Linked DNA regions of Danio rerio. The protein of the gene in region 2 purifies or fractionates together with the protein of the main gene of each other region. This does not show direct contact. Links are inferred from orthologs where the notes say so. Each region holds a gene or a part of one and is shown on either strand. Other genes may lie near its edges.

Region 1 (6,138 bases), about 3.9 Mb from region 2:
TCCCTTCGAGGCCCACCTCCCTCTCTGATTTTTTTTTAAGGCCCAAACTGATTGTCTAAGGAAAATGCTTATTTTAAAGCTTTATTTATTAGCAAAACATTTCATTTGCCTTCTATTATTCTTTTATTATTCTACATCATTTTATTAAAAAAAAACTAACAATATGTATTTCAATATTTGGAAAAAAACACAACTGCAGAGTATTTGGGTATTTCTTCAAAAAGTGAACCTGACAGGACTACAGGAGATGGCAAAAACAGCTGCTGCTTTGAATTAGACTGACTACTATTCATCTATTGGTCTACTATTCATATCCATTAAAAACAAAAGAAAAACAACGCAAAAACACTCTAAATCTGTTAAAACACATCGATCTGAGGGCGGTTTGGTTTGTTGCTGAACATTATTGGAGTTCGCTGACAGAAACAGAGAACAGATGTTCACTAAAACACAAAGTCTCACGTGTCCATTGTAAATCACTGGCAGGACATTAATTTGGACAACTATGCGCATATTTTAAAGAGCTTAACTGCAGGATTGATGAGGCCCACTAGTGGGCCGCGGCCCACCGGTTGGGAATCCCTGCTCTACATTACACTACATTTTTGTTGTACACATTATTAGTACACAGCCGGGTCTCTCTCGAGTTTTTTTCCTTCACTTTCGTCAATTGGTGAAGTTTGTTCTTTGCTATTGTTGCCACTAGCTTGCTTAATTAGGGACTTGTACAGCTGCGCATCGAAGGATTTGCTCTTCAGTGTTTCGACTTTCAGCAATGAAAATTAAACCACACTGACCTAAACTAAACTGAACTTCAACTCTGAAAACTGAACTGACACAGTTTCAGTTTACTAGAACTTATGATGTTAAGTTTCTTTGACACAATCTACATTGTAAAAGCGCTATAGAAATAAAGATGAATTGAATTGATTGAATTACTGTCTTACACCTAATACAAATATTGTTGCTCCTCAGGTCGACGGACATTCCCACGAATACGTCGTCCGCAAGGAAATTTGTTCACGTTGGTGCCATCACGGCGATCTCTGAACGGCAGCGAGGAGAGTTTGGGCAGCTGGCAGCTGGAGAATACTCAGTCCAGACTTCGTCCACAGGACCGGGCAGTCCCTCATAAGTGTGAGTGTTTTGTAATATATGATCTTATTGAGGGGTGACCCAGTGGCACAGCAGGTATTGCTGTCGCCTCACAGCAAGAAGGTCGCTGGTTCGAGCCTCTGCTGGATCAGTTAGCGTTTCTGTGTGGAGTTTGCACGTTCTCCCTGCGTTCGTGTGGGTTTCCTCCGGTTTCCCCCATAGTCCAAAGACATGCGGTGCAGGTGAATTGGGTAGGCTAAATTGTCCGTAGTATATGAGTGTGAATGAGTGTGGATGGATGTTTCCCAGAGATGGGTTGCAGTTGAAAGGGCATCCGCTGTGTAAAACAAAAAGTTGGCAGTTCATTCCGCTGTGGCGACCCCAGATTAATAAAGGGACTAAGCCAACAAGAAAATAAATGACTGAATGATCTTATTGACCTTATGCTTTCACATAAGAGCAGCTACAGCCATTAGTACATTTATTGGTTCAAGATTTTATTTTTATTTTATGTTGCAAACTTTTAATTCATTTGTTGTATGTTTTCACCTGCCTCCTTTTGCTAACATGAACAGTATTTTAATTTAACATTTTTTTACAATTTATTGTAAGATTGCATTTGCACACATATTGCAAAATGGTCAATGGAAAATTATAAACTTGAGCGACAAGGCAGTACTGACAATACTGTGCATCTCTCACACATCTTTATTGCCAAACCCTGATTACTGTAATCAATGTATTTTGGGACACCACATATAATCGCTAATATATGAAACTTTACATTTTTTATTTTGTTCATGCAACATATATCACGTGTCAAACTCGTTTTGCACAGTTTGGCTTTAACACCTGATCAAACTAATGGAGTCCTTCAGGCTTGTTTTAAACCCCTAGGTAAGTGTATTGAAGGAAGGTTGGAAATAGTTTGTGCTGGGCTGCTGAGTTTGGCACCCCTAAGATATGTATTATCATATTCCTAGTTGGAAATTCTAAAACTATTGCAGAATAGAGCTTACTTTTGCATTGCAAAATAAGGTCAATAGAAACGGTTTAAAAAGTTTTGAGAATGTGCCCATGTATGCTTTTGAGTGAAACTGTCAATTACTTTGTCGTTCAGCCAATCATTGTGTATTTATATGTGCATATGTGTAGCCCCTACAGCTCCAGTGACGTGGCGCAGAGGGAAGTTGCTGGGTCAGGGTGCTTTTGGAAGGGTTTATCTGTGCTATGATGTGGATACGGGCAGAGAACTTGCAGCAAAACAGGTTCATTTTGACCCTGCCAGTCCAGAGACCAGCAAGGTACATGTTTTTTTTTTTTTTGTCGTATTTATTTAATCATGCTTTTATTTATACTTTTATTATTTATTTATTTATGCATTTATTTATTTGTTTATTTATTTATTCATGCATTTATTTTTTACATTTTTTTATTTATTTATACATTTTTTATCAGTGCATTCATTTTTTATTAATTGTTTATTTATTTATGCATTTATATCTTTACTTTTATGCATTTATATATTTATTTATTTATGCATTTATATTTTTACTTGTTTATTTATTTATTCTTGCATTTTTTTATTTGTTTATTTATGCATCATTTTTTACTTATTAATTTATGCATTTATAATTTTTTTTACTTATTTTTAATTATTCATTTATTTATTTATTTATGCATTTATTTGTAGATTTATTTATTTGTTTTTCTTTTTATTTATTATGAATGAGATTCATAATACTAAAAGAATTAAAGTTTTCATTTTATTTCTTTTATTGTTCTTTTTCTTTTCTTTCTCTTTTTTTTCTTTTAATTTTCTTTCCTTTGTTGTTTTTCTCTGAGATTACCAGCATGTTTTTTTCTCCCCCCTGATTTATCTTTCTTTCTTGAACTTCTCCCCCTCTCTTCAAATCCTTTCCTGTCTGCCATTGCAAAAACATGCACTCTCGCTTCCTGTATCTGTGTGTGATTGTGTATTTGGTTCAGAGGGGGTTTGAGGCGAGGGGAAGCGGGGTAGTCTAACAAAGCATTTCTCATTGATCATGCCCCCAATTGACACACAAACACACACACAGACATGCACAAAAGCAAAAAGCACCTCCTGGATGTTCAATCTCTCTTATCTACATGTTAACAGTTTGGCATTAGTGTGTTGTGGTTTGTGTGTTTTTAGTTGATCTTCCACCTTCATGCACAGTCATCTCCCTCATAGCCCCCTCTGGTCATAGCTGCTCTGCTCAGCTGTGGTCGTGTCATGACTCTTGCCCCTCTTTCTGCAGGAGGTGAGTGCTTTAGAGTGTGAGATACAGCTGTTGAAAAACCTGCATCATGAACGAATCGTCCAGTACTACGGCTGCCTTAGAGACCACAATGAGAAGACGCTTACCATTTTCATGGAGTATATGCCCGGGGTGAGTTTGATAAAAGAACCACATTTATTAAGCGTTTGGAAATCAATTAGGACGAGTCGTTGTTGGAAAAAAAAAATCTATGGAAACTACTACTATAGTGTTCCTGAGGAAAAATTAACCATATACATCTTTGAATGTGGGTGAGTATGCAATGACATAGTTTCCTTTTTTGGTGCACTGTAGCTGTAATGCCAGATCTCTTTATTGTATGGGTTGAAATGTGTCACGGAACACCTGTTTAATAACAATACGGCTGTTGTGATATAGAGTTCAGTGTGATCTTTCCACCCCTCAGGGTTCAGTCAAAGACCAGCTGAAGGCTTATGGGGCTTTGACGGAGAATGTGACACGCAAATATACCAGACAGATTCTGGAAGGCATGTCCTACCTGCACAGCAACATGATCGTCCACAGGGACATCAAAGGTTTGTAGTCTGTGTGTTGTGTGTGTGTGTGTGCGTGAGTGTTTTAGTAGTACAACAATACAGACTTCTCATGGTTTCTGGGTCACGATTTTGGCACGATTTTCGGTTTATATGTCCAGTAAGACAAAACAATATAGCAAAGATAATACTAAAATAAGCAATGCTTTCAGGCTTTTCATGTATCTAGCAATAGTTTTCAGTTATATAAACGAATAAATATCATATCACAGATTCATGGAATTGATTCTTACCTCCAGCATAATCAAGCTTTTAAGCTTACTGAAATGTTTTTGACAATAGCTCAACAATGTATTGCTTTAAAATAGAAAACAGACATTGATGTACTAATTGGACTGTGGATCTCAAAAGTGCACCTCAACTGTATACCATTGGAGAAGATCACATATTCTTTGAGAGGAAAGGGGAATTATTAAAAAATAATTGGAATCCATTTTGAATTATATTAAAGCTGTACCACATGATTTAATATGACAAAATAGTTTTCTCCATTGGTTTAAACTGTATATCCTCCGTTTGTTTATTTATTTATTTATTTGTTTTATGTACTGTGTGTATGGTTTACTTTAGTTTGTTTGTTGCTTAATTTCAATGTTCTGTATTGTTAAGTTTTGAAAAAGCTAAATAAAAATCTATATTTCTAAGAAAAATCTAATAAAAAATAACACTGCATACTATATCTTCAGTGTAAAAATTAAATAAAGGTTAACCATTATGGATCTAGAGTAGCCTATCCAGCTATTTAGTCGAGAGCAGATTGATTCATTTAAATTATCTTTTGTTGTTTGATTAATATATATGAAAAACTGATAACAGGAATAAGATGTTTTAACTTTAAGATGCGACACAGCACAATGTGAAAGTTACAGTCATTTCAAAACATAACTGATTGAATGCTCGTCAAGTCAGACAGATGGAAATAATTATTGTTGAAATTGAGTTTTACCATTGTGAAGCAAGACTTAATTTGCACATCATAAATTTCATTCACTTGTACTAATGAGGTACTTCTAAGATCTCCTGCATGTCAGGCAATTTCTGGTTCTGGACCCACCTGTGCTCGCATGCTGACATGCGGCATGTCTCACTATAATATTCACTGATGGGACATTTACTTGTGTTGAGCCTGAACATGAATTCTAACTTGCACAGAGCCAGTTCAGAGAGCAGTGTTTTTCCAGCTGTGGCGGCAGGTCTTTTACACAAATTTATCAACCACCTATGGCGTTATTTCAATGACAAATGGAGAAATGTTGTGAGCGCATTTATGTAATACGAGCATGCGAATCTCTTTGCTTGCGGACCGATTTCCTCTCCTTATGCACAAAACTTCTTGCACGCCGCCTCAAATATACGCTGCTCAAGCTCAGATCTTCTTGTGCACTCTCAAATAAACGCTTCTGAAGTGCGATTTAGTGCGCTTATGTAACAATTATGTCTCCAACATTTATAAGATTTGCTTGGGATATTTATAAGATTCTCCAATAGACCCACAAAGCGGCATTAATGCTTCCTGAAGTAAAGTGAAACCGAAATAAACTCCGGCAAGATAAAGTCATTGTATGCAGAACCATAGACTTTTATCTATAAATGAAGTATAATTATGGAAACTGTTCTTATCATAACTGAAGGCTACGTCGTGTTTGCTTGCCTCACGCATCATGCACGCACACCATGGAAGAACGTATTTAGCGGAAACCATGAAGAGTAATTAAAGGAAGATGGAAAATGCTAATTTTGCAATAAATTTTAACAGATATTTTAATGCAAAACCAAAAAAGCACAATTTCGATATGCATATGATCTGTGGAGGCATATGACCATTTTGATCCGTTTCAAATGGTTCATTATTAGTATAGCAGCATCCCAAGTGTGTATATTTGTTCATTCATTTTTGTGTGTGTGTGTGTGTGTGTGTGTGTGTGTGTGTGTGTGTGTGTGTGTGTATATATATATATATATATATGTACATATACATATAATAATAATAATTTTTTCATTATTATTATTTTTTTAACTTATTTATTTCTTAAATCATTCAACAACAAAAAAATGCTGCTTTGCTTATTTATACCATCAAAAATTAGCAAAAGTATTTGATGTGTTTTTTTCTTTAAATCATGTTTTAGTATTCAGGAATTTTTGAGTTTGCATATCTTCTTGTTGACTTCGAGCAGGAGCAAGAG
Region 2 (6,138 bases):
TATATATATATATATATATACTTACATATATATACATACATACACACACATATATATATAAATAAATAATTTATATATATATATATATATATATATATATATATATATATATATATATATATATATATATATATATATATATATATAAAAAATTCTTGAATTAGCTAGTTATATGAAAAGCATATTTCCAAAATATACAATTATTGTCTGTAACTGCAATTACTTCTTAGACAATTAATTGTCAGCCAAATTTCACACAAAAGAGGTTTATAGAGCCAACATGCACATCACCAAATGGGGCAGAATGAAGCTTGACATTAGCTGCTTGATTGGGCATGTGTTTGCAGACGCGCACATCATCTCTACAACAGACGATACTGACCTTAATGGCTTTGAGAGAGCCGCTGAAGAGCATGTTGTGTGAGGACACTAGAGTGCACACAGGGTTATCGTGTGCCCGGATGGTGTTCACTTTCTGAAGGGTCTGGATATCCCAAACCTGAGGAAGAGCAAGTGAATGTGTATTAGTTACTGTCCGAATCAGTAGTTTGATTCCTCTTTTAAATGCACTTCAGGGACACTCACAATGATTGTACAATCAGCTGAGCCACTATACAGCTTGTTCCTGCAGAAACAAAAAAAAATGTGCAAGAATTTGTAAGTTCCCTTGTCCATTTAAAGACAACATGAACATGACATTTGCAACCGTTTTTACTTTGTTAAATTCTTTTTAAATATTGTATATTTTTATTAGAGCTGTAACCAGAGCCTAAAACTACACTTCATAATTGTTTTTTCAGTGCTTTCAAAATAAAAGCATACAGCTTTTTGTTTGGTGCTTTTTAAAATGCACAAAATGGATGTGACTGTGTGTCATTCGTAAAACATGGTTATGTCCACATAAAAATCAGTGCAGTGCATCAGATTACATATTTATATGATTATTTTAATTTGTAAAGCTGGTTCGGAACAATAGTCATTTTTCTTAAAGGCCAAATTGTGCATAACACTTGTTAACATTTCATATACTTCTTATACTTGTCAACCTCAATGTTTATTTTGAACTTGATGACTGTTAATTTAGGCCATTACCTATAATACACTGATTTGACTTTTTCAGTAGAACTCAGGCTTCAATGTAAGAATGAAACACATCTCTCACTAACAATCTGCACTGATGAATCAGACCCAGTAAAAAATAAATAAATAAATAAATAAAAAAAAAACTTTTCTACGGATATTTGTCCATAATTAACATCTGATAAACGTTTTTAAAACTAAACTGCTAATAGACATGTCGTATTCCAAGTAGGTCTGACCTGCACAGCCATAGAATACACAACCTCTGACCTACACAAGTTTTTGCTTAATTGACCGCCATGCAGATGTTCATTTATAGCCCAGGAAGCCAAATTTATACATTTCGTGAATTGGGAATACACAACTTTAATTTATAACACTAAAACACTTTGAAATTTTAAAGATAACAGTAAATATAAAATAGCAATGAAATGGAGAGAAACAAAGCTATGAAATTGTTAAAATGCAAAAGCACTTTGTGAATGCACCCGATGAACATTCGTTAAAGACTTTCAGCTATACGGATTGTCATTTAAAGGCTAGATCAACTAGTCCCTCCAGCAGATCCAAAGTAATCTTTTGGCAAAACTGTCAGCCTGCTCCTCCATATTATGCTATTATGAATATTATTGTGCAATAGGTCTGCGCGATTTGGGCAAGATATTTAATTGCAATTTTTTGACAGATATTGTGATTTTCATTTAATTTTGTAGTCAAGCTTCAGCTCAATAATCTGTAAGCCGTGGCAACAATTCTTCGACAACTTTTAAAAATGACCTATTTTTGTTCGGTGTCTGTGACTTAGAAACCAAAATATTCCCATATTACCAATGCTGTTTATCTTTTTTGATTGTAATTTGTCTATTAATGCTTCTGAAGCAGCAGACGCCATTATCCCACTTGCTCACGCTTTCCTGTTGTTTTTTTTTTGTGGATGTTCGGTTGCACAATTCTGACTAGGCAAAACAAAAGTGTGCTCACTCAGTTAGCTAGTAAGACTGTCACACACAAACAGCAGTCACACATTTGCTCTGGGTGGGAGAAAAGAAATACATAGATATTTCATATTGCAGCCTCTTGCGATTTACTAATCGTAACGTTTCAAGTTGCGATTTGATTTTGATTTATCAAACAGCCCAATTGTACAATAACCATAATTAGAATGTTTCTCAATTTAGTAAACTGTAAATAACAGTATGGAAACGAAAATGAAATGCTTTGATTTAATTTTCCATACTTCTTTCGGACCTGCAAGTGTCTCAAATCAAACGCAAAGGAACTCACTAAAGTCTTAATTTAAAAAGCTTACCCCTGAATGCACAATGCCAACACTATGCCATCATGGCCTTCGAGAGTCTTCTGGCATTTGTATGTGGTGCACGTGTCCCAAACCTGCGTAGAGCACAGATGTACAGATGATTTATCTGTAAAAAGAAGGTTACACACCAACCAAAGACAGCAGGTGAAATTACCTTGATGGATTTGTCTGATGACCCACTAAAAAGTAGATCGCCTGTCGAATAAACACACAGGCACCACACCGGACCCTGATGGCCCACAAAAGTACCCTTACATTTGAAGATCTGCTGGGGGTCGTAGGCTGCAAAACAATTCATAAGAGTCAGACGATTAGGGTTCCTGCTCTAAACCCAATGTCAAATTCCCTGACTTTCACTGACTAAAAAGCACATATAAATAGAAAAACAGGCCGCAGTCATGCTTGGTAGTGCCTCCAGAATTGTGTTGTTCTGCGATTGCTGAATTGAAGGCAAAATCAAGCAAATAAAGCAAAATTTAGAGCTGCCTGCAATTTTATTTTTTTTTTTATTTATGCAGATTTCCACACCATCTGCATTGTTTTTTATTGAATAACACTCTTTTCATGCATGGAAAGTGCTCATGTGCTGTGTGATACCTTAAGCTGTCAACAGTGGTTCATGAGGTTAAAATAAGGTGTAAAAAATAAAAATGTTCAAATTTGAACAGCTTTTTACAGCAAAACAACACAAAAAAGGGTGTAAATACTGCCGCAAATTGAGAAAAGTCAAAGCAATATCAGCAATTTTAGGCTGCAAAAATCAGATTTTTTTTTTACACAAAATTCAAGAGGGACGCGTTCAGCACTGAGTAGACAAACAAAAAAACACCCACTGACAGTATTTTAACAGCTACAGCCTGGTGATTGCATTTGTTGCCTGCCAAGGGGGGAGGACTAAAATGACAGTGAAAAGTAGCCTAACCTTAACACAAGGTAGAAACACATTATTAAAAAAAAAAAAAATTTTGCTAAACAAGATGCAAACTTCAAGACAATCAAAAAAATCCCTGCTATTTCCTGACTTGGAAAAAACAAACATAAAATTCCCTGACTAAAATGGCCCTTTTTTAAAGTCCATGGCCCGAGGGAACCCTGTTCAACATATTCACAGAAACTGAGAATAAAAAGGAGAAAATGAGGACACTTACAGCCCAGTATGCCCATATTGAGCCTGGCATTGATGTGAGACAGTTCATCCTGCAAAAGGAGAGAAGTGTTAGAAAGCTAATACAAAGCAGCTGTACATCTTATTTTGCTAAAACCCAGATCGAAAATAGACCTACGTTTAGCATGGAAGCATCTCGCCTGAACTCCATCAGATCTTCACTGAGCTTGCTCTGATTCTCATCCAGCACATCTGCCACATTAGCACAAAAAAGACCAGCAAATTGAACACTAATGCACATTTTGGCTTACAAACAACAAGCGGCTAAGAGTTAGCTCCATGTCCTCACCGAACTTGAGTTCCAAGTTTTTCTCCAGCTGGTCCAGCTTCTCTGAGAGTTTACCAAGCATTGAGCGCAGGAACGAAATGTCCTGGTCCTTCTGCGCCAGTGTCACCTGCATCTCATGGAATCTGTCATCCGTCTGCTGGAGAAACTCCTTTAGTCCCTCAAACTTACAAACCTCCAGGTGAGTCTCGTATGTGTCCTGATTCCCGATGAAGGTGCAACTGGAAGAAAAATCCAGCGTAGGTGAATTTGAGGTTGCTTTATATTTTGTATTTGGTTTCATATGTATGGTAGCAATCAATAGGAGCTTTTCTAAATATGCATACCCATATTTAGAATGAGGGCACTTGATGTGTTCACATTCTTTCAGATGGGCCTCTAAGTTCATAGTGAGCAATGGAGGGCAGTTGGGGTTGTTGGGACAGCGAACGGGTCTGTAGTCACAGCTTACTTCATGATCTCTGTCAAACACATTCCAGAGTTATTACACTCCCTTTCACTGACTCACGCGGATGTTGCAATCAAACGCCGCTATTGCAAAAGCCAGTGAACCTGTGTACTCACTTTCTGGTGCTGAGCTTGATGGTAAAAGGACAGCCAAGTGGGTCAACCTCATAGGCACCAGACTTGCCCGAGGCAGCTGGACGACAGCCGTACTTGCAGTGGATGAAAAGCTCTCCGATTTGCTCAGCCACAGCTATGTTATTCACTACCACTGTGAGCTTCGAATTGTCCACCGGGCATTTCTCTGTAGAAGCATAGGATATTGGGGAGAAAATAAAGGAAAGACTAATGTTATATTGATAACATGACTCAAACTAACAGCATGAAAAGAAGCATTCAGAATGGACAGGAAATGAAAGAGGAACAGAGATAGAAACCTGCAATTAGCCACTCCTGTCAGTGACAGCACTTTTTGAAACCACAAATAGTCAAATGTGTGTCTGAACATATTCAGATCCTATCTTCTTATTCATGTTTTTTTGTTGTAGCTTGAAATCATTACAAGCATTGTTAAATAAAAAAAAAGATAAATATACATAATAATTCACACACACACATATATGTATATAAATATATATTAGTGGTGTAACTGATCTCAGATCTTTTGGTTCGTATCATACAATGGTTTTTGAGTCACTGATTGGACCATTTTTCAGATCAGCAAAAAAAGGAGATGACAAATGTCAATTGTTTTCCATGCATTAATTTATATAGAAATATTATGGAAAAAACTATTGGTTTTAGCAAACATAACTTAAAACCTGTCATTTTAATAAAAATAAAAATAAAGAAAGAACCAGCTGGAAAAAAATATATATATATTCAATACGAAAAATGACCGTTGCTACTGTTGCTGATATTAATAAATATAGAAATTCAACATCTTGTACAACAGATCATGTTTATTTTCAATAAATGATTCAACAATTCACACATAAAAATTTATGTTTCATTATGGGTGGAGCATTGTTGAAAACCTATTGAATTACATAATATTGATGTTTTTTTTGTCGCCACCCATTGGATACACAATGTAAGTGCTACAACATTCTCCAGCGTCAAGTTCTATTAAGCAGGGATTTTAATCTTTACCATAAACAGTGTTCATATCTGAGCTGTAAACTGTTATTCCAGGACTTGAGTGATTTAATTGTTTGTAACTAAAGTGTAAAAACTGAATCTCTCTTGATCAAATGCAGATTTGAATGCAGCGCTTTCGAGGGATTGAAAAGCATATGCAAATCATTATTAGTTTTCATTCATGTTGTGTGGGTTTGAATTGAGACCTTGATCTTTTAATATTTATGTGTAGCTTTACACTGAATGCATTCATGCAAGCTAAACAAACAAACAAACACCTTTAATTATTAACCTAAGTATGCAATTAGGTTAGTCCCACAACTAACTTTTCCGTCATCATTGTATTTTGTAGGGAAGCCAAAATGCTTAGATGCACGTGATTTGAATGACGCGAAAGGCGATATCTCTGCAATTGTTATAAATGTTGGATTAACTATTATTAGGGATGTAACGGTATTGTAAATATCATCATACCGCAATAGCAATTTTTTTCGATATTACCGTAGTTGCATGACTCGATAAAACTATAGGTCTTCTGAGAAAATTTGCTCAGGCGAATGAAGCGAACAGGAGGTAGCGGAAACTACAATTCCCATCAGCCCAGGCATGGCCATCATCCTTTGCGGTCTGTTGTCGCTACAGATCCAGTAATGCGGAAATGGAGTGTGCTGCTAGTAGCGGGGATGAAAAAGAGCTGGAAATGAT

What was found. The genes of interacting proteins can lie anywhere in the genome.
Region 1: the proteins of traf7 (region 2) and map3k3 purify together in Homo sapiens (affinity purification with mass spectrometry; 5 studies listed by BioGRID and IntAct, with this or other methods). This does not show direct contact. The link is inferred for Danio rerio from reciprocal best matches to the Homo sapiens genes TRAF7 and MAP3K3.

What each region holds. Positions count from the first base shown.
Region 1 is NC_133178.1:30,611,054-30,617,191, reverse strand, and holds part of map3k3 (mitogen-activated protein kinase kinase kinase 3), read left to right. Parts: intron 1-975; coding exon 976-1,137; intron 1,138-2,250; coding exon 2,251-2,399; intron 2,400-3,377; coding exon 3,378-3,509; intron 3,510-3,804; coding exon 3,805-3,934; intron 3,935-6,138. UniProt on the Homo sapiens protein: Component of a protein kinase signal transduction cascade. Mediates activation of the NF-kappa-B, AP1 and DDIT3 transcriptional regulators.
Region 2 is NC_133178.1:34,478,151-34,484,288, reverse strand, and holds part of traf7 (E3 ubiquitin-protein ligase TRAF7), read right to left. Parts: intron 4,598-6,138; coding exon 4,414-4,597; intron 4,311-4,413; coding exon 4,176-4,310; intron 4,071-4,175; coding exon 3,853-4,070; intron 3,756-3,852; coding exon 3,682-3,755; intron 3,596-3,681; coding exon 3,547-3,595; intron 2,681-3,546; coding exon 2,553-2,680; intron 2,473-2,552; coding exon 2,390-2,472; intron 626-2,389; coding exon 586-625; intron 500-585; coding exon 383-499; intron 1-382. UniProt on the Homo sapiens protein: E3 ubiquitin and SUMO-protein ligase that plays a role in different biological processes such as innate immunity, inflammation or apoptosis. Potentiates MAP3K3-mediated activation of JUN/AP1 and DDIT3 transcriptional regulators.